Alligator mississippiensis: one gene and its partners. The protein of the gene in region 1 binds, or shares a complex with, the protein of each later gene. Links are inferred from orthologs where the notes say so. Each region holds a gene or a part of one and is shown on either strand. Other genes may lie near its edges.

The links.
Region 2: HYPK (region 1) and NAA50 share a complex: the UniProt entries of both Homo sapiens proteins name them as parts of the N-terminal acetyltransferase E (NatE)/HYPK complex. The link is inferred for Alligator mississippiensis from reciprocal best matches to the Homo sapiens genes HYPK and NAA50.
Region 3: the proteins of HYPK (region 1) and NAA10 are in contact, whole or in part, in a crystal structure (PDB 6C95), measured with the Homo sapiens proteins. The link is inferred for Alligator mississippiensis from reciprocal best matches to the Homo sapiens genes HYPK and NAA10. Residues at the interface, in NP_057484.4 of Homo sapiens: Lys27, His28, Ser30, Gly31, Asp34, Leu35, Arg37, Val38; in NP_003482.1 of Homo sapiens: Glu24, Tyr26, Lys29, Tyr30, Tyr33, Lys59, Glu134, Lys136, Tyr137.

What each region holds. Positions count from the first base shown.
Region 1 is NC_081834.1:732,705-738,712, forward strand, and holds HYPK (huntingtin-interacting protein K), read left to right. Parts: upstream 1-4,695; 5' UTR 4,696-4,741; coding exon 4,742-4,924; intron 4,925-5,004; coding exon 5,005-5,060; intron 5,061-5,206; coding exon 5,207-5,258; intron 5,259-5,343; coding exon 5,344-5,439; 3' UTR 5,440-5,506; downstream 5,507-6,008. Other genes in the region: SERINC4 (serine incorporator 4), read right to left, coding at 1-81, 397-608, 719-812, 1,101-1,180, 1,249-1,423, 1,454-1,655. UniProt on the Homo sapiens protein: Component of several N-terminal acetyltransferase complexes. Inhibits the N-terminal acetylation activity of the N-terminal acetyltransferase NAA10-NAA15 complex (also called the NatA complex).
Region 2 is NC_081824.1:241,147,617-241,155,263, reverse strand, and holds the start of NAA50 (N-alpha-acetyltransferase 50), read right to left. Parts: upstream 3,021-7,647; 5' UTR 2,817-3,020; coding exon 2,809-2,816; intron 1-2,808. UniProt on the Homo sapiens protein: N-alpha-acetyltransferase that acetylates the N-terminus of proteins that retain their initiating methionine. Has a broad substrate specificity: able to acetylate the initiator methionine of most peptides, except for those with a proline in second position.
Region 3 is NC_081831.1:28,666,232-28,674,110, reverse strand, and holds the start of NAA10 (N-alpha-acetyltransferase 10), read right to left. Parts: upstream 3,021-7,879; 5' UTR 2,931-3,020; coding exon 2,910-2,930; intron 2,773-2,909; coding exon 2,674-2,772; intron 2,269-2,673; coding exon 2,210-2,268; intron 1,874-2,209; coding exon 1,828-1,873; intron 1,278-1,827; coding exon 1,162-1,277; intron 391-1,161; coding exon 346-390; intron 81-345; coding exon 1-80. Other genes in the region: PDZD4 (PDZ domain-containing protein 4), read right to left, coding at 5,892-7,115, 7,381-7,488. UniProt on the Homo sapiens protein: Catalytic subunit of N-terminal acetyltransferase complexes which display alpha (N-terminal) acetyltransferase activity. Acetylates amino termini that are devoid of initiator methionine.

The sequences.
Region 1 (6,008 bases):
GGCTGGACAGCGCGGAGAAGGTGAGGTAGGCGACGTAGCAGCTGATGATGGAGGCCTGCAGGAGGCTGGAGCGTGGCTGCTCTGCAACCAGAAGGCCCGGTCAGCCCTTCCGCGTGGGCAGGCAGCAAGGCCAAGGCCTGGTCTGGAGGGTGCCATGTGCCCTCCCTTCCCTCAGCCCTCCCGCGTGGGGCTGGGGGGCAGGACAGGGCCGGGGGGGTGCGCCTGCCCCTACACGTGCAGTCCCAGAGTTAGCACCGGACATGGGGTCAGGCCTGATCCTGGGCTCCCACCGCTTCCTCCCCCTGTAGCCACGCCAGGTGCAGCCCAGACCCCCATCCTGCTCCGAGCCGGACCGGCAGAACCGAAGGCGCCTGGGGGCCAGCGCCGGGCACTCACTGAGTCGGACGCAGGGCGAGACGGAGACGAGGGACACGAGCCCGCAGAGGCCGGCGTGGAGGGCGAGCAGGGCAGCGCCCAGCGGGCGGGCGGGCGGGCGAGCGTAGCGCTGGTACAGAAGGGAGAAGGCGGCGACGGCGATGGCGTAGAAGCCCAGCGTGGCCAGCAGCACCGCCGCACCCCAGCGCCCGTCCCGGGACGCCCCCATCTGCCTGGGGAGGGGAGGCAGTGAGCCCGGTGCCCTGGGGACACGGGCCCTGAGTCCACGCTGGAGGGAGGCAGCTGGAGCAGCCCCCGGCCCTGGCAGGGGAGGGGGACCCACCAGTTCTTGTTCCAGGTGTGGGCGAAGGCTGTGATCAGCACCAGCTGGAGCAGGATGAAGGCAAAGCCACCGCAGATGCCCACGTAGCGCCAGGCTGTGGCCAGGGGAGCGTCAGGAGCCACCGCCTGCTTGGAGCCCAGCCCCCACGCCCCCCACGCCAGGCACCACATCCCTCCCGTGGGCTGCAGGGTCCTTGTGGAGACGCGGGCCTGGCCCAACCCAGCAGGGACCAGCTTAGGGCGGGGGGAAGTGGGGCACAGCCTCTGGGGCGGCATCGAAGGCTGTGCCCTCGGGGCGCAGCAAGGGTCGAGCCTCGAGTGGCTGGTGGGGGCCAGGCCCTGGCTGGGCTGGTGCCCCTGGCACCCCGGGTCTGTGCCGGTACCTGGCAGGAAGCGGTCGGCAGGGATGAAGAAGGCGGCTACGCAGAGTCCGACCAGGATCAGCAGCTTCGGGAACCAGAACCTGCAGCACACGCCAGCGTTAGTGCCCGGACCCACCCCGAGCACCCGTGGGGCTGGCGGGGGCCTCACCCGTTGTGCAGCTGGGCGCGGACGTCGCGGCTGGACCTCACGTTGAGCAGGAGGGTGGCCTGGGCCAGGTAGAAGCCGGCGGTGCCGAAGCAGACGCGGTAGACGGCCGCGTAGCCCACCAGCGCGTCGCAGTCAGCGCCCCCGGGCAGGCGCTGGCACAGCAGGGCATAGAAAGGCACCTGTGGGCAGGATGCGGCCGCGGGTCAGCTCTGGCGTGGGGACAGGCCCCGCGGCACGGCACGGTGCAGCGCCCCGGGGCCAGGCCAGCCCCAGCCCCCGGCCCGGCCCACGCTCACGTGGTCCTTGAGGGCGTCCGAGACGGTGCGGGACAGCAGGAGGCAGCAGACGGCGCAGGCCAGGACGTGGAAGAGCGTGTAGAGCAGGCGGGTCTGCGTGGACGCCTTCATGCCAGGTCTGCAGCCACAGCCACGGCTGACCTGGGAGGAGCATGGGGCTCACGTGGCTGCCTGGGGCTGTGCCTGGACCTGGGCTGAGATCCCCATCATGCCCATGGCTGCCCACGGGCCAGGGCACAGAGCCAGCCCAGCCTTGCGAAGCGTGGCAGAGCCTGGGGCACGGGCACAGCCGACCACGTCCCCCCGTGCCCACTGCTGCCAGGGAGGCCCAGGCTGGAGTCATGCTGCAGCCGGAGTCAGGAGCCAGGCACGGGGCCTCCCAGGTCGTGCCCATGCACCCTGTGCCAGGACAGCCCCTGCCCAGCACCGCCCCCGGGGATTAGAGGGGATTGGGTGGCTCAGGCGCCTCTCGCCATCTGCCCATGGTGGCTGCAGAGACCCCCGCCCCGCCCCGCCCCGCCCCGCCAGGACCCGCCGTGGGGCCCTGGAGCTGCGTGGCTCCTGCTCCGTGCTGTGCTGCGCCCCCACCCCAGGCACAGCTCCCCCAGGCCCCGCGGACTGGAGCGCACACCGCTGCCCCCGTCCCCCCTCGCGGGCACACGCTCCGGGAGGGATTAGAGCTGCTAATTGGCTCAGACTCCCCAGACTTGCTTCCCCGCGCAGCCAGGCCAGGACATGAGCGGGGGTCCCAGGGCTGTGGAGGAGGAGCCTGCGCCAGCCCCACACGCAGGAGTCCCTCCATGCCCCCTTCCCCTGCAGTGTCTGGAGGGTGCAGCCCCCACCCTGGGACCAGCGCTGCCACAGGGACTGCGACGCTGCCCCGAGGGCCTGGCCCTGCCTGCTCGGGGTGCCTGCGCCCAGAGGAGCTCCCGTTGCAGCCGGCGCCCAGCAGGCCCTGGGGTCCTCCCTGCATGACCCACCTGATGGGGAAGGCTTCCCGCCAGCGGCAGCCCTGGGGCTCAGACCCCCTTGCTGCCCCTCAGAGCACAGCAGGGCTGGGGCCAGGGCGTCCTGTGCACACAGCAGCCTCCTCTGGGCCCCGCCACGCCCTGGCCGATGCTGCCGAGAAGGGGGCTCCGCAGCCCCCACGCTGCTCCCACCTGTGTCTGGTGGCCGCTGGGCATCATCCCACGCCCAGTCCCGAGACCGACGGCTCCCAGTGGAGATGCCAGGTGGACTGCGCCAGCCCCCGGGGCATCAGCCTTGGCTGATAGAGTGTGAGCCACGCAGCCCCGGCACTGCCAGTCTGTGCAAAGGGGAAGCCAATTAGGCAGCTGCCTGCCATTGGCCACGGGGGGGGGGGGGGGGGACCTGGGGTGAGACAGGTCTGCAGCAAACGTGATTAGGCTGGGAGCCAAATGCAGCCTCTTAACCCTCTTACCAGCCGCAGGGCTTAGCCGGTTCCACAGCACACAGACCGCGGAGCCCCATGCCACGCTGCCAGCCACGGGGGCTCCCAGGCTGGATGGGGGGGCAGAGGGGGTCCCCCGATGGCAAATGCAGAGTGCAATGCACAGGGTGGGGGTGGGGGTGGGGGCCGAGCCCTTGGCCCTGGGGAACGTGACAGCGCAGAGCAGCCCGTGGCACTCCCTGCTGCAGGGAGCCCCAGCGCCAAGGGCCGGGTGAGAGGTGGGGACGTCCGTGCCGGGCAGGGGTTGCCAGCAGAGCCGCAGGGAGCTGCCCCGGGCCCAGCTGTGCCCAGAAGGGCGGCAAGGCCGAGGGGAGCCAGAGCGGACCGTGCTTGTCCTGCTGCTGCTGCAGGGACCTGAGGCCTGGCTGGGCCAGACCCATCCCGGGCCCCGTGGGGTGTACGTGGGGATCCAGCTGGCAGGGACCATCCGCCAGGGTGAGGCCCAGCCCACACTGGCCTGGTCAAGCTCAGCTGGGCAGCAGGCTGCCCGGCCGTGCCCCCGGCCTGCTTGCAGCTCCCAGACCTGACTCCATGCCCTGAACCTCTTGCCTGCTCCTCCCTGGACCTCCTGGGCCAGATCAGTCGCTTGCTCGGTCACAGCCTCACCTTGGCCCTTGGCTGCTCTCCTGGACTCGGGCTGTCACCCAGGTTTGACCCCTGCCCTAGAGTGACCGCCCATGCCCCGGTCTGCCCCACAGCTGTCCCTCAATGTGGGGGGGCAGGGTGGCAGGGGCCAGGGGAGCGCGAAGGACAGGGCAGCCACAGGCAATGGGGCCATAGAAGTGACTTTCCCAAAAGTACCGAGAGCAGTTAGCTGAGGATGAGCAAAGTCATGAGCACCCGCGCTTCAGCGTGCTGCGCCCGCGCTCCACCGCGGAGCCCCCCGCGGCCTTACACAGCTCTTTCCCGCCGAGGGACGGGGAAACGCCCACGCTGCACGTGCACGGGCCTGCTCGGGCACAGGCATCTGCAGACCTGCGCCATCCCTGGCGCCCCGAGAGGTGGCCAGAGAGGGCAGGCCGGAGCCGGGGCCCGGAGGCTGCAGAGGGGAGCGCACAGGCTCCCAGGTGGACCCTGGGGCCGCGGCGGACGAGCAGCTCCAGGGAGCAAACCACAAAACTGCAGCGCAAAGGGCTCGGTGCGACCGTGGCCGGCAACAGGGAGCTGGCGGCACGTCCGTGCGGGGCAGAGTGAGCGGCCAGGGCACAGAGCGAGCAGCGGGGACCAAGCGGTGTCCTGGGAGAGGCTTCGCGCCCGGGCCAGGCGGGGCTCCATCGGAGGCTGCAATGGGCAGAGGGGCTGAAGCCGACCCGCAGGTTACAGTCGGGGCAGCCCAGGAGCACGGGGCCTGGAGCCAGCGCCCGGGGTCGTGGGTGACCCCACGGGGAGCAGCCTGGGGCCGCGCCGTGACCGCCCCACGTGCTCCGTGGGCTAGGACCGCAGCGCCCGGGGCGGGGGTCCAGGGCCCTGCAGCGCCTGGGCCGCTCCGCACCGGGGCTGCGCCGGAGGCGGCCCCGCGGGCCCGGGCGTCGAGCAGGGCCAGCGCCACGTGCCAGCAGCGAGCGCACGAAGGGCAGCGGCTTCAGCGCGTCGATTGCGCATGCTCGGGCGCAGCGGCCCGCCCTCCCCGCCGCCAGCCAATCCGACACCGGGCGGAAGTGGCGCACGGCCGCTCTGCTCCGCGCAGCCGCGTGTCGCCGGGCCCGGAAGCGGCGGCGGCGGCGCGATGGCGGCCGAGGGGGACGTGGAGCTGGAGCTGGAGACGGAGCCGAACGGGTCGGCGGGCGGCGCGGACGGCGGGGGCCGCGCGGCGGAGAAGCCGCGGAAGCATGACAGCGGCGCGGCCGACCTGGAGCGCGTCACGGACTACGCGGAGGAGAAGGAGATCCAGAGCTCCAACCTCGAGACGGTGCGTGCCGGCCGGCGGGCGGGGGCCGGCGGGCGGGGGCTCGGGCCGGGCCCGCGGCTGACCCGCGCTGTCCCCCACAGGCCATGTCCGTGATCGGCGACCGGCGCTCCCGGGAGCAGAAGGCCAAGCAGGAGAGGTGAGGGGGGGCGGGGGCGGCAGCGCACGCGGCCAGGCCGCTCCTCCGGCCCGGGGCGAGCCTCGTGCCCGCGAGCACATGCTCCGGCTCCGGCGGAGACCCGGGGCTGCACGCCACTGACGCCCGTGTCCGCGCCCTCCTTACAGGGAGAAGGAGCTCGCCAAGGTCACCATCAAGAAGGAGGACCTGGAGTTGATTGTGAGTGCGGAGGGGCTCGCGAGAGCGGGGGACGGAGCTGCTGGGGCGGTCCCGCCGTGCTCACCCCGCTGCTCCTTCCCTGCAGATGACGGAGATGGAGATCTCGCGGGCGGCGGCGGAGCGCAGCCTGCGGGAGCACCTGGGGAACGTGGTGGAGGCCCTCATCACCCTCACCAACTGAGCCTGCGGCCGGCAGCGGTGGTTGGACACTCTGTGACTGATGGGAATAAAGACACCATCTGGCCTGGGCTGTTGGTGCCGTTTATGTGGAGCTGGGCACAGGAATCCGCCCGCTCGAGCGGGCTCCGGCGCCCCTGCCCCCCTGCGCAGGCGGGAGTCGGCTGTCTGGGCGCTGGCGCCTGCTGCACTGAAGGGCTGCAGCGCGGGCACGTTTGACGAGGGCTCCCGCGTCCTTGCTGCCCTCGGGGCACTGACCCGCTGCTCCCAGGGGAGGGGAGGCTGTTCCTGCTCCAAGGCACCATCTCTGCCCCTGCCCAGGCTTGGCATCTACCTGCAGTGTTTCGTCTCGTCCTTTCCTTCCTGGTGCCACCTGGAGTCTCCTTTAGGGTTCTCAGGCTGAGCCGGTCTTTCACTGGAAGTGATTGGGGGTCCCAGTGTGCTATGAGCGTGCTCCTTCCTAGGCCTGCCCCTGGTTCTCCCTGTGACCTGGGAAGCTGTGGATGTGTCTGTGAACATGACCCTGTGGGCTTCACTTTGACCGGCAGGTCTTGCGATCGCAAAGCAGGAGGT
Region 2 (7,647 bases), on another chromosome or scaffold:
ACAGCTGCCACCAGAAGAGGCCCCTCAGCTTATTGATTCCTGCATGCTCCCTGCAATGGAGTTTCTGGATCTAGCTTTTTCACACAAAGGTCTTGTGAGTGTTTACAAAGGGTGTGACATTGGAATGGGGAAAAAAAACCCTATCAGGCAGCTGCAAGCTCTTCCAAAATTAGAGGCAGGATGAAAGGGCTGCAAACTACATACCCTGTCTGTTTTGGATTAGAAAGGTATAAAAAACTCAAGTAACCATGTGACTGGTTCCTTCCCTCATCCTTATTCACTAGGAGCCTCATTCATTCATTTGTTGCTCAGGCTCTAGAGCTGATCTACAAAGCTCCCAAGATTACCACTATGCTTTCAAGTACATGTTAACTAACATGCACTTAGTAGAAAATTCCCATATAGAGCCATTCAAAACTGGGTTTTACAGCTACCAGGTAAAATTGCCCCATGCGTTTGGTGCACAGTCAGACCAAGAACACTTGCAGCACACATACACTCCTTCAGCATTAGGATTCTCCAATAACCCGAAGCAGGCAGGAGAACTGGCTCATGCTGCAGCCCTTCCTTGTCCAACTGGCACTATCTCCCAGAAACAGAGGCAAGGCAGGACAGGTGGAACTCCCACATACACCTCCATTTCTGGGAGGAGGAACAGAGGGACAGACCAAGAAGGGCCACAGCTGCCAGACAGACAGGAGGCACTTTGCCCGGGCAGCACAGGGTTTGTGGTGGCGGCACAGAACTTCCCTGCCCCGCTCTGCTGCACTGGGTCTCACCCAGCAGAGCAGGGAGCCCTGAGCCCACAGCCAACCCCTGCCCCATTCACAAATCTAAGGGTCATGTCCCTCCTATACTCCCGCCAGGAGTGTGTACACCAGTGGGGAGCCAGCCCCTCCCCTGCCCCCTGGAAGAGCTGTCCCACTCCTTGTCCAGGCCTTGCAGCCACACATGGCCCTGGGCCCCAAGCCTCACATACTGCCTGAGCTGGGCCGCAGCCCAAACCCCAGCCCACCCAACTCCCTCTCATTATGGAGGCCTCAATCCCCACCCCCCACCCCGGACTTACCTGTGGGAGCAAATCCCACCCCCAAAAAAAATTAGGAGTGCCAGAAAAGCAGAGACAGAAAAGTATAGAATATCACAGGCCTGTTCTGCTCCCCTGGAATTTGGCAAACTTCACAATTGATTTAAGTAAAAGCACAACTGAGAAAAAAGTCTATTATTAAAGGGCCATCAAGGAATAGGTTTTTGGGTGGTTTTTCCTGTTCTTTTGTAATGAACCCCCCAACTCAGATTCACTGAAGCCCCAGATAAGAGAAATGACAGTTTTCACCCAGGCGCATTTTGTATACTACATGTAAATCTGGAGACTCCAGTCTGCTCTGGCCTGACACAGAAAGTTGCCCAGACAATGTAATGTATTCAAGCCTAAGAAATAATACTCTCTCTTTCAATTCAAAACTGATATAGAATCCAAGCAGAGCCAAGCCACAGAAAATCAAAAAACCTGGGGAATCCAAGCTGAAACCAAGTTCTAGCTTCAGCCATAAAGAAGCACATCTAACATGCGACCTGCTGCTGATCAATTTTATTGTTCTTCCTGCATACCCACCTATTCCTTACAAGGCTGCTCTGCCTCTTTGCCCACAAGACCTAAAGACCTGATTATATTGGACACTGCTTTATTGACAGGCATTAAATGGAAGATTACCAAGAATCCACGTTTTCTTTTTTCCCCATGGAAAAATGCAAATTTTCCCCTTTGAAACAGGAAACCAGACTTCCAGCTTGCAAGGTAGTGTTTGGGGTTAGAGGGAGGGCCACTGGAGGCAGGGGGTGCCATGTGCATGCATGCAACACATCACACAAATACAACCAGGCAGGGTGGTGGGTGCAGCTCCTGCAGCTACCTGCAGGTAAGTTGGGGGTGGGGGGGCAGGGGGTGGAAGAGGAGGGTGGCACAGGTGACACATGGGAAGTCACAAGGCAGATGGAACTCCACACATGCCAGGCCACCCTTACTGCTATGGAGCATTGGGTCCATCCAGGCTGTAGCCTCACACCTTGTAGTGCCAAGATTGAGGTGTGAGGGAGCACATGCTACACCCAGCACCTTTAGGGCAGGTTTGGCGACTGCGGTTGGAGGCACTGCCCAGCTGGGGTGGTGGCACAGGGCTCCTGGAGCTTGGCACCAGCCCTGATGGTCAATGCAGAAGCTTGGCACATGCTGAGGCCAGTCTGGGCCATCAGGGACCAAGCTCTGGCAAGTCCAGACCAACCCTGCACCATCAGGGCAGGGGCCAAACTCCAGAAAGCAGGAGCCTTTCTGGTCCATCCACACACTACCCAAGAGAGAGCAATGCCAGCTACATTTGTGGGGCTGCTGCCAGCTCTCCAGGCAGCTGTTGGGGCAGGCAGGCAAAGTCTGCCTTCCCCAGGGAGGCACCTGATGCAGAAATGACACGCAGCACCACACGGCCGTGGGCCAGAAGGCGCGGGGTCGCCTCGCCACCCTCCGCGGGAGAAGACCCCGCCGGAAACGTGGTTCGGCCCGCAGCGGCCGGGACCCGCGGAGGAGTTCCCCTCACGCAAACGCGGCGCAGCCGGGCCCTTCCGACGGCTTCTTCCACCCCCGCGGGGGAACGACCCGCAACCCACGAGCCGAGACCAGCTGCGCAGCGCCGCGCCCCCGGAACGCCCCCGGCCCCGCAGGTAGAGAGCGGGGTCACGCGACGGCCGGTTTGTGCCGAACGGCGCCACCCCAGGCCCGGCGCCCCGCTCGGGCCGGGCCCACGCCGCACTCACCCCTTCATGGCGCGGCCGCACTGGATGCGCGCAAGGCCTGGCGACGCGGCGGCCTCTTTCTCTTTCTCCTTCTCCTCCTGCTGCTGTTGCTGCTGCCGCCGCTGGGCGCTTGTTGGCTCAGCCTCCTGCTCCCGCTCCACATGGGCCGCAGGCCGCCCGCCCCGCCCCGCCCCGCCGGCGTGACCCCGCGCTGCCCGCTCCAACGCAGGCACGCTCTACGTAACCTCCAGCGGTATTACTATGCTCCCGCGCGATGGCTGGAGGGCTGTATCACATGACCGCAGGATGTAAATCACATGACTCTTGCGCCTGTTACGTGAGTGGGAAGGATTCTCTCGCTTTCCTGGCTTCCGGGAGCGCATGCGCAGGCGGTCCGGAGCGACGGATAAGTTGTTTTGTTGTTGCTGCCGCCACTGCCAAGGCTGGGAGTTTTTGCTGTGTGCTCAGGTGATGTACCCTCCACGCTCGCGGGCCCCTGGGAGGCGGCCGACCTGGCTGCGCCCCCGCGCCTGCGTCACGGGCTCCCGGCCTGGCGGGCGCGTCGTCCTGTTCTGCGGCGGCTGCCCTGTTGAGGAGCGGTGGGGTAGGTCCGCTGCCAGGGAGCGTCGCCTCTCCCGGCTCCTGCCTAGGCTGGTGGCTGTAGGAGGAGCCACGGCCGCGTCGCTCTGGCCTTTCCCGTCCCTGAGGCAGGTCCCGCCTAGAGCGGGTGCGTAGGCGACCGGCGCTCTTCGCTTTCGCGCGGTTGCGAGGACTGGACCTTATGGCCAGAAACTGCTGTAGGTTAGCCGGTAACCAGGTGTCTCATGGACATGCCGCTCCCTGTGCTTCTGACTTGGCACAGCCTCTCCGTTTGAGCCCGTAGGGAGGCTGTTTCCTGAGCCCCTGCCTCCTTCCGCGTTTGTCATTCATTTATCCAAGGCTTGTTAAAGATGGTCATTTAAAAAGGCTCTCCGTCTTTATTGCTTGCAACAAAGCAAGTTAGGGGAGCCTAACAGAGTCAATTTGTTAGGCTCCTCAGTTCAAAGCCACAAGGCCTGTGGCTTTTCAGAAAGATGGTGGATCATAAGGTAACATGCCTACCATTTTGTTTGCTGTGTATGTAATGGCTGTCCTACTAGCAGGGGCGGGCAGTTATTTCAGGCTGAGGGCTGCTTACCAAGTTCTGACAAGCTGTGGAGGGCTGTATTGGTAGCCCCACCCCTTGACAGATGCCTTGCCCCCTGGTTGCCATCTTATGACTGGAAGTCCCACCCCCTAACACCTGACCTTTGCCACCAGAAGACCCTCCCCATGCTCCGAGAAGTATTCCTTTCAGCAAGAGGTTTTGCCATCTCAGAACCAGAAAAATACCAAAGTATAGTTTAAAAAGCAAACATCTACAGCATTCATTAATTTGGTTTAAAAAAATATTGTCCAGATATACATGCGTTTGTGCAGTACACATAGACATGATTGCACAGTAGCTTAAAATGAAGTCTTATGCTTGTATATTGTGGGGGGTGGGGTGCCTCGGGGGTGTGAGGGGATGTAGGGGGGTCTGTGTATATGGCAGTGCGAGGGGGGGTGTGGGTGCATGTGTATGGGACTCAGCCTATGAACACACATACACTCTGCCCATGCCTACACACACATGCACACACTGTGCCCGCCTGCATACATACGTGCAGTCATTCACACACCCCATACTGACACAGTCCCGTGCTCCCCAGTTGGGCGGTGCAGCTGGCAGCTAGGGGGTGCTGGAACAGGGCGGAGGCAGGAAGGGAGAGAAATGGCTGGGAGTGGGCAGGGCTGGGCTTTTCAGTCCTACTGAGGCTCCCCTTGGGTCCTACTGCCTCTGGCTCCTGACAGCTTTGATAAGCTGCTGGGGCAGATAAAATTTAGAAAATTAATATTTTTAGGGGCCCCATGGGCCAGATAAATGGCTTGGTGGGCCATATTTGGCCTGTGGGCTATATTTTGCCCACCCCTGTACTAGCATCATCACTTGACTACATTGCCTTGCAAAAGGAATGGTAGTTGGGATGGTAGTTTGAGAGGGGAAGAGCCAAAATAGTTCTCTCTCTGGCCCATGACTACAAAGTTAAATTGCTTTTGACTTGGAAATACTGAGATTGTTTCCTGATCAGCAGTGTCCACATGACCTGTTGGAGAGGAACAGCATCAAGAAAACCTGACAGCAGACCAGGCTGGAACATCATTCATGCATGGTTCATCCTGAATCACTATGTTTTGAAAAATGTGACTGCTGTTGGTTGGGGGTTGGGTAGACAAAAGAAATTGTAGCAGGTCTTTTGTGTACGCATGTCCACCCCTGTTGCTTGTAGAGAAGGGGACAAGACTGACAAATTTCTTGGCCTGTTTTTCCTACCTAGCATTAGTTAGTGTGTGCATGTGTACTGTGTGATGTGCCAAGGAGGTAGAGTTGGTTCTGTGCCTTATTTCTGCTGCTTCATGGTATAAGGGAGCCTAGACATCCTCTGGAAGCACTGTAAGATGTTTCTATTTGGGTAGGCATTTAGCAAACAAAGCTAAGTTAGGCTGTTGTTGGAGGCAAAGGGGGTTAATTTTAACTTAATATTTTACTTGCTTTTATGTTGTTTTGTTCCCTTACTGTAAGCTACCCCAAGCCTTTCTTGGAAAGTGTGATGTATCAATCAAATAAACAACATAAATCCTGGATCTTTTTTTTTTCCCCCCCTATTTAGGACAAATCCCAATGTCCTACTTCATAACTGCCTAAAGAGGTTGTCTTATCCCCATTGTCCTATTTCTTGTAATATAAGAGACGTTAGTAGAAATAGCTACCTTATCTATACCACTTATTCTTTTTACTCCCATCAAGTCCTTTTATATTGTCTGTAAAGAGATAAGCCTTATCTCTTTAATGTTTCTGTGAGTTCTCGCAGTCTGGTAATCATTTTCATTGCCCAGCTGAATCTTTCTAATTCTACTGTGTTCATTTTGGATGTAGTGGGATCCTACAGTTTTACAGAGCATACTTTTGGTTCCTAGCACAGCAATATTTTTTGTCTTCTTCCCATTTCTTACGTGGACTGGGTTTGTTTGTTTGTGGTGGGTCCATGTTGATGGAAGTCTGTATTGAGCTATACACAATAAGGCCCATGTCTCTTTCCTGAGTTGATACAGTTATTGGAAAGATAAACAAGTAAAGACCATTTCTACAATAAAAGTTTCTCTGCACTTGTCAATGTTGACCTCATCTGCCATCAGACTGCTTATTAACCTAGCTTGTGTTGGGTCACTCCAAGGTGACTCAGCCCTCTGTCTTGACTAAGTGAATAGTTCTGACTTATGCAAAATTTCCAGCTTCACTACTCACTTGCTTTTAAGATGATTAAATATATTAACAATTGTCCTAATACAAAACACTTGTGTGATGATACTTGACTATTTCTTCTTCCTTTATTTGATCTTAGCCACAATGAAACTCCATAGGTGATTGTAGCAAGCCTAGAATTTTGAAATCTCAAGTAGTTAGGAAGTGAAACCCATCAATATTTTTAACCTTTATAAAACTGGTGTTGTCAGTTTTAAATTACTGGCAAACATTTGTGAGAAATGATCTTTAAGATTGAAGGATATTGTTCCTTCAATTAAGAACAGAGACCGATCCAAGTAAATAAATCCTTTGACAGAAATGAAGATTTAAATTACTTTAGACATATCAAAATTAGTTTTTGACCTTTTTTAGACTTAAGGCACTCTTCAGAAAATGCCAGCTCTTAAGTTTTCATTCGTTTCTTGACTGTGGAAAAATAATGGAGCACTTCTATTGCAAAAAAAAAAAAAACCCCTCAAAAGACCACAACAGATCAGAATTTCTTAATGCAATGGATTCCTATTTAAAATCCTTGGGTTTATTTTGTGACTTGTATAGGTGTTTGCACACCTAACAATGCCAGCATTTTGTGACATCAAAGGGATTTTGTAGCACCCAGAGGTGTTATGGTAACCTGGTTGATAACTGTTTCTCAAAAGAAGACACAAGCAGAGACAGGAAAAACCCCTATGCCTTTTAAATGAAGAACATTTATCTTACTACAATCTAATGCTGCTTCTGTTGATTGGTTTCTGCAACATAATAATCTGAGAAACAATCTGGTTTTGGAATGAAGTAATTTCCAAGCAGTGGATTTCTTAAGATTTGTGACATTGTTAAAAATTTTTAGGACTGGGTGGGTGATATGAGATTCACAATTTAAGTAACTTGTTCCAGAGAAGAATGGGGAAGTCTGCACTCATAGTAGGTTGCCCTCCACCAGCACCCCTCCCTGCACTGAAACCTGGTTTCAGCTTCCAGACATCAATGTCATCTTGGTTCCTGTGACAATTTCCTTAGTTGTCAGGTGTTGATCACTGAGTGTATTGGCTTCCCTTCCAGATGGCTTGTATGGAGTTTGGAGACCTGGTTCAGTTCCCCTGGGAGAATGACAGCTTGCTGTGACCCTATACTATAAACAGCAGAACCATTGCCATTGCGAGAACCTACTGTGGCCGCCTTTAAGAAAGCATTTGGATTCTTATCTTGCTAGGATCCTTTGACCTTAGCTGACTTCCTGCCTGTGGGGCAGGGGGCTGGACTTGATGATCTCCTAAGGTCCCTTCCAGCCCTAAGGCCTATGAAATCTTGTCTAACTTCCACATTTATTTACAGTGACATGATCCATTATAGTTCTGCTTCTTCCCCACCCCCCTCTTCCACCCTCCCCCCCCCCCCCCCTTTTCTGAAGGTTTTCTCAATTGGAAAAGGAAATGTAAGTCACCCAATTTACAGGAAGCTTGCTGCAGCAGTGGTTGTCTAATGTGTACTAATCA
Region 3 (7,879 bases), on another chromosome or scaffold:
CAGCCATCTGTGTGAGGTCCCTCTTCATGGCATAGGCGTCCTCCCCATCCGCATAGTACTTGGGCTCCACCTCGCTGATCCTACAGGTGGCCTCTTATTAATGGGGTGGAAATATTAAAGGGGGAGCCCAGGACCTGACTGGCACAGACAGTCCCATAGCTCCCTCCAATGCCCATAGCCAGTCCCCGCTGGCAGTCCTCCACTATCCCATCACCCCCAGGCTTCACCCCTACTACCCCCCCCGGCTCTCCCCCTGGATCCTCCACAAGCCTGTCATCCCCAGTCCTTTGCTATCACATCGTTCCCCAGGAGCCACCATTATCCCATCACCCCCCGTGGACTCACTGGAAGTTGAGGGTGTTGGAGTAGAGGTGCAGAGCTGCCCGGTTGCTACAAGACAAGGCGGGTATTAGGTGGGGGGGTGTTGCCCCAGGGCTCCCTAAGGCACAGTATTTGCCCTATCCCCAGGGGGGCATATCTGAGGGGGCAGCTCCCACTTCTGGTGAGGCATGAAGTGGTTTAGAAGAGCGTAAGTCACAGGGCAGGGTCATGAGGTTACCCCCCTCTCCACTCAGATAGTTGGTGTGGCTTCGGAGTTCAGGGGTCAGAGGTCATAGAATGAGTGGTGACCCACAGAGGGGGAACAGGGATCAGCCACCACCATGACACCATGAGGTGGTCAAGATCACAACCCTTTGGCATAATGGTATAAGGAGGCAGGATCACCATGGGATCAAAAGTCAAAACCCCTCCCCAGTGTGTGTGGGGGCTCAAGGTCACCATGGGGTCAAAGGTCAGGGGCCACTCATCACTATGGGGTGTAGTGGTCAGTGTAACTGTGGGGTCAGAGGTCAGGGCTCACACCCTTATGGCGAATGCATGGACAGTCAATGTCACTGTGAGGAGGTCAAAGGTCAAGGCTCATGTATGCATGTGTGTAAGATCAAGATAACCATGAGCTCAATAGTCAGGAGTTACTCACCACTATACTGTGTGGGGGATGAGAGTCATTATAGGGTTAAAAGTCAGGAGTCACTGCCCCTTTGGTCACCTGCAGCCCTATGGACATGGCTGGGGGAAGGCAGGACCAGGGTAGGGGGGATACAGGACTAGACCCAAGGGACCCCAGGGAACTCCAGGCAGGGGCTAGGGGTCACTCACCTCTTGCGGACATGCAGAGACACGTACTTGGCATTGAAATTTTCAATCATGGCACGAGAGGCCTGGTCCATGAGCTTCTGTGCCAGCCCCAGGCGCCGGTGAGAGCGTTTCACTGCCTGGGGGTGGAGAGGATGGTCAGGTACCCCCCAGTCCCCACCCCTGTCCCAGAGAACCCAGGCATCGGGGCATCCAGCCCCTCCCAGACCTCTGAACTAGGGAACCTGGGCATCCAGGCTCCTACCCCCCCCAGTCCCCACTCCCCTCCCAGAGAAACTAGGCATCCTGGTTCTCAGCCCCCTGTTCTCAATTCAAAACCCCCACCCACTCCCAGAGAACCCAGGTGTCTGGGCTTCCAGCCTCCCCAGACCTGCAAACTAGGGATCTCAGGTATCAGGGTTCCAGACCCCTTCTCACGTCCCACCCTCTCCCAAAGAACCCTATCATCCAGGCTCCCAGCACTCTCCTGCTCCTTCCCACCCAACAGACTCCAGAGAACCTAGGAGTCTGGGCTCCCAGCCCCACTTGCATCTGCCCTCCTCCCTCACCCGCTCCAGATCCCCTCCCCAAACCTCCATCATCTCCTTGCGGATGGGAGAAAATCCCCAGACTCCCATGTGCCCCCCACCAAACTAAGTGCCCGGGGTGGGGAAGGGAGGTAGGACTCACCAGAGAAGTGATGTGTCCGTGGGGGACATCATCGGGGTCTTCCTCCCTGGTGAGCAAATGAAGGAGCTCAGTCCCATGGTGGGGGTCTGCAGTGCCCCTCACTCCCAACCCGTAGCCTCCTCTACATCCCCACAATGTCCCTCGTTCCTGACCTGCAGCCCTGCTGATAGCCTCATGGTGCCCTTCACTTCCAATCTACAGCCCCACCTCCAACTACAGACCCACTCAACAACCTCACCCCCATATTGGTGCCCCTCATTCCCAACCTGCAGCCCTCCTGTAGCCTCATGGTGTCCCTCAGCATTACTTCTGACCCGCAGCCTGCCGCATACAGCACAGCAGTGCCCCTCACTCCCAACCTGCAGCCGGTGACCCCACTCACATCTTGGCCAGTACATAGCCTACGATCTTCCCATTCTCATCTTCAGCGATGTAGGACAGCTGGGGGAGCAGATACAAATTAGGGGGCAAGGGGATCCCCCCAATCCTCTCTGTGCCCCTCACTCTGGACCCGGAGCACCCCCCCTCATAGGGCCAGGGGAGTGGGGGAGGGGTGGGGTTCCAGCTGGGAGGAAGGGGTGAGGCATTTATTTAATACCTTTAATGAGGTATGAAATACCCTTGGGCATCTCCTGGGTGGTGGCTGGAGCGACAGGCAGGGCCCTGTCAAACCAGCCTGGGCTCCTATCCACTGCCTTGGCAAGCCTCCCTGAGCTGGGAAGGAACCCAGGCATCCTGGTTTCGAGCCCCCTCCCCTCTCCGAGAACCCAGGAGTCCGGGCTCCTAGTCCCTACTATCACCCCGCCAGACCCCACCCTCCCAAGGAACCGAGAAGTCCGGGCGCACCTGTGGCCAAGACAGGCCGTGGTAGAAGTAGTACTTCATCTGGTAGTTCTCGGGCAGACACAGCAGGTTGCAGTGCTGCATGTTCATCAAGTCCTCGGGCTGCGGGGGGTAGAGAGGGCAGGTGAGAGGGCAGCGGACCCAGGGATCCGGGCCCTCACCCGCCCCCCAACTCCCAAGAGACCCAGGCGTCCGGGCTCCTCACCGCCCCCCCCAGGCACCCAAACCCTCCCCCGCACCCGCGCGTTGCGGATGTTCATGGCTCTCGCTCGGCCACTCCAGGTCCAGCTCCATGAGGGGCCGCCGGGGGAAAGGGGCAGGGCACAGGAAGCCACACTTGCCCTCCCCTCGGGCCAAGCTAGGCAAATCGGAGACCAACTTGGCCCCGCTGAACAGGCCCTTAGGCCAATCAGAGGCCAGGAGCCTCTGGCTTCCAGCTCCGCCAATGGGGAAGCAGGAGGGAAGATGAAGTCCCGTCTCCGCCTGGCTGCCAATCAATCGGCGCCGGATAGCCCCGCCCACCCATGGCCTCAGCTTCCTATTGGGCAACATGGAGGGTTTGGTTTCGCCTACATCCTGAGCATTAGCCAGTCACGAGCGTGGCTGCAGAGTTAAGCCCTACTTCTAGCCAATCAAATGATAGACTCCATAGTCCCGCCCCCATGGTGGAGGCAGCCAATCACATGGTTTAAGAGGCAGGACCAAATCCCGGCCAGTCACAGTCTAGAATCCCTCGATTGGCGTTTGCTTGGGCTCCAAGAAGCCAATCAGTAGACAGGAGGCGGCATCGTCTGCCGAGCCAATCCTGAGCAGGAGACCCCCCCGTGATGGTTTCTCCCGCCCGCTCACCCTCAGCACCAATCATAGCCCTGAAGGGCATGGAGTGACAGTCACGAGGACCAATGAGAGCAAAGGCAAAGGAGGCGATGTCTCTGGTGTAGTGCTGCTAGCTTCTTTGAAGTAGTGTCCTCAGATGGGGGTGGGGTTCAGAGGGTGGGCGTCTAGGTTCTCTGCGAGGGGAGTAGGGGCGGCTCGGAGCCAAGATAACCCAAAGCGGTGGGGTGGGAGTGGGGGGCACCGCCGGAACAGCCGCCTCCAGCCCGCAGTTACCATTACTGTCATTTCCTGGTTTCTTCATCTTGATTGGATTGATTAAAGAGCACAGGCGTCCGGGCTCTTCTGGGACAGGGGCTTCACCCCAAGCCTGACTCGGGGGCGTTTCCTGCTCCCACACTAATGCGGGCTCTGGGGTGGAGCTCCTCACTACCTGGCTCCGGGTGGGCCGGAGTCAAACCCAGTCGCCTGACTCCCAGACTGGGTGGGTGGGCCTAACCCCCAAGCCCCGCCCCGAGGTGGTTTCCCCCCCCCCCCTCCAATGCCGCTGGTTCTGGGGTGGAAGCGGTAGAGGATGGGGGGCTCTGGGGGTGACCCGCCCCCTCAAGAAAGCAACAACCCGGAGGCGACGACTTGAAACGAGTAAAAACCACCCGGCGCTTTATTCTCACGGCGCCCCCGGGACCCAGGCGTCCGGGAGGACCTCCCCTGCCCCCACCCGCACCGCGCTGTACAACCAACGAACCCCCTGCTGAGGGCGGGCGTGGGGTGAAGAGACAAGCAATGAGGAGGGGCGCGGGGGACCTGGACGCCTGGGTTCCCTTCCGGTTGGGGGAGGTGGGGCGGGGAGCAAAGACGCCTGGGTTCCTCGGGGCATTGGAGGGGAGCTACGGGGCGAGGCGGGGACCCCGGTCGTCTGGGTCCGTTGGGCATTGAAGAAGTATGCAGGGGGAACCAAGATGCCTGGGTTCCCTCCAGGGTGGGGGGAGAGGAAGAGGGGCAAGGGCTGAGAGCTAGGGTACCTAGGTTCAACGTTGGAAAGGTGGGGAGCATGGAAGGTGGGTGAGGCAAGGACACAAGACTTCTTTGCTGGCATGGGCTACAGGGAACTTGGGAGGGAGCAGGGTGTGCCCTAGGTTCCCTAGGTATTGGCTGGGGGAGGGGGGGGTATCTGATAGGGATGAGCATTGGGGGAACCTGAATGCCTAGGTTCTCTGTGCTCTGGGGGAGGGGAAGGTTCTAAGCACCTGGGGCCCCTGGCCACTGAGGGAAGGGGGAGGTTGGAGGCAGGGAAGGAGGTAGGGAAGCCTTAGGCACCTAGGTTACTCCCCTTTCCCAAGAGATACAGATGGCAAACCACAAACACCCACAATCACAGACACAAGCAAGCCCCGCAGGGGAGATCCCCCCCCCCCCCCCCCCGCCTGTCCTTGTGCTGGGGGGGGGCAGGTAATCCTAGCCCTCCCACCATTGTCCATAGGCTGGGGGCAGCTGCAAGCAGGGGGGCCTGGCTTCTTGGAGGGAGGGGTATCCCCACTGGATGGATGTCAGGGTTCTGCTCATGGGGACCCCTTTTTCCAGCATCTCCTTACAGGCTCTTCCATTCGTTCAACCCCCTCCTAAAGCCAGCCCCCAGTTCTGTGGCACACCTCCTCCCCCTTGGGGGGGGGGGGCACTTTCAGCTAGTCCCCCCCCTCCCTCCAATTCATTTCAGGACCTTTCCAATGCGGGGGGTGCGTCCCTGTACATGGTCTTGGGAGAAAGGAACCCAGACATCTGGGTTCTTTCAGGCGCTTGTTCCACCTGAAAGTCTGGGGTACTGGTAGCCTAGCCATGGTGTCAGTGTGGTTTGCTTGGCCTGGTAACGCCTCTACAGGGCCCAGGCCAGGCAGCACCAGGTTGACAGTGGCTACAAAGCCTCCCCAGGCACAGTCTTGGTCACTTTGCCCCTGCTGCCTACTTTTCTTGGCAAAACCCCTCCAGACCCAGCAGGGAAGGGTGACAGTGGCTATATTGTCCCTGTGGCCTACTGAACCTAGTGAACCTTCCCCACGCCGGGCTAGGGCAGGAAGTGCCAGACCAATAGCAGCCACATTGCCCGCACAGCTTGCTCGGCCCAGCAAAGCCTCCCAGGCCCTTGCTTGGCTGGGGTGGGCATCGCCAGGGCAACAGCAGCCATGTCACCCCTGTGGCCTATTCTTCTTGGCAAAGCCACCCTTGGCCCTAGACTTAGACCAAAGGTCAGTACTGCAAAAGCAATGGTGGCCATTTTGTCCTTGTGGCTGACTAAGCCTGGCAAAGCCTCCCACAGCCACAAGCTCAGCGGGGCCAGCCTTGCCAGGGCAACAGGCCTTGTGGGAGGTGGAGGCGGGGGGTGGAACTCCCCCTCAGACAGTAGTGACAGAGAGCAGGGGGTTGTAGAGCCGCCGGCCGTCGGCCCCACGGCTGCCATGGGCCAGCATCTCCTGGATGGTCAGCCAGTTGTCGAGGATGCGGCGGCTCCGCTTCCTCAGTGTCTTGCGGTGGCCCAGGGCCACGGCTGAGGTCTCGGGGGATGCCCCTGCTGCTTCCAGCCGGCTCTGGAGCATCAGCTCACGGCGCCGGCGCTGCTCCCGGGCTCGGGCCAGGTGCTGCTTGCGTTCTTCTCGGCTCCAGTAGCGGCCCAACTTCAGCTCGCTCATGGCATCGTCATCGGTTGTCATCCCGCTTCTTTCCTCCCTGATCTTCAAGGCCCGTGCCTTGAGAAGCCGGTCTCTCACAGGCCTCTTGGCACCTTTGCCCCGCCATTCCCCACCCCGGCCTACTCCTGGCAAGGCTTCGCTGGCACACAGAGGCACTAGGCCTGGCGGTGCTGAAGCAACAACAGCCATGTTGTCCTTGCGGCCTAGACGACTGGGTGAAGCTTCCCGGGGGCTACGCTTGGTTGGACGGGCCTCACTAGGGCGCCGAGTTTTTGGGGGACCTGGAGGCCGGTTGAGGTTGCCCATGGGGGGCTGGCGGAGTGGGCTCTCCAGCTGAGGGGTGCTGCGGCAGCTCTCACCTGTGTTATAGGCGCTTTCAGGGAGCTCCGTGATATCAGCCAAGGCATGGGGGGGGCCGCCTAGGGAGACTTCATAGCCCCCTGGCCCCCCATCTTCCAATAGCCAGGCCTTGAGGCACCGCTCCCGCAACTGCTGCATCTTTTGGGCACGGAGAATGTTGCGGCACTTGAATTCCAGGTGCCGCAGCTCCTCCTCCAGCAAAGCTACCTCATTGCGGTTGACATCCAGGCCCCCTGGCACCCCCCGGTAAAGGGGGGGACCCTGGTTGCCATTCTGGAGGTGCCCCCGTAGCTCCAGAAGCTCACGATATCTTTCAGCCTCCTCCGGGGTGAGGCCTGGGGTGGCTGGGGGGCTAGGTGGAGGGACCACAGCATCTGGGAGGGGCTCACCACGGCGCTGCAGGGCTGGGGTGCCAGTGCCGCTGGGGGGCTCATCACCTAGCAAGTCATGCTCCGAACTCTCCTCATTGCGGGTGCTCTCATCTGTGCGGCCAACCCCACTGTCTGGCTCCCCCAAGGCCGGAGGGGCTGCAGGGGGGGGCAGTGGCAGGGCTGGGGTGGCCATTTGGGGCTGTGGGGGAGGGAGAGAAGGAGGCTGGTGGGGAGAAGACCCAGGTGTCTAGGCCCCCCGCTACAGTACCGTGGCTCGGGAGCAGAAGACAACCCAGGGTGTGGCTGGGGCCCAGGCACCTACACCCGAGAGGGGATTGTGAGGGGGAACTCAGCTGTCCACGACCCCCAGCTCCAACCCACAGCAGATATGGGGGGTGTTAGGAAAGAGAACCTAGGCATGTAGGCTCCCAGCCCCACCCCTGATGGGCCCCCCCTCATCTCACCTGGCCTGGGGCAGCACGGGGGGGTCGGGGTCGTGCCTCATCCTCGGGGTCAGAGCCGAAGTCATCAAGGAAATCTTCGCGGTCACTGTCCTTCCAGTGCTTTGACAGCTGGGGTGGAGAGTTAAGAGCCAGCCCCTCCCCAGTGGGGCCCCCCTTTGCTGTCACGCCCCCCTCCCCCCCCCCGGGCTTCCCAATCCCCTAGCACATTTTCCTCAGCCCTCCACTACCCCAATCCCTTCCCCCCCACAGCCAGCTCCAATCTCTTAACCCATTTGCCCAGCCAGCCTGGGATCCCCTAAAGCCTTTCCCTATCTCTTCTTGTCCCCTCCCCCCCCAACCCTACCCCTATTCCTGTCCCCAAGCTCTCCTTGGGGTCTCCAATTGCCTCAGAGCCCCAGCCATGTCAGGATACCCCTAAATACTTTCCCCATGCCCCCCAGCCATCCAAAGGCGCCACAGTTCTTATCCCCTACCCCCTCCCTTGCCCTGGAGCCACCCC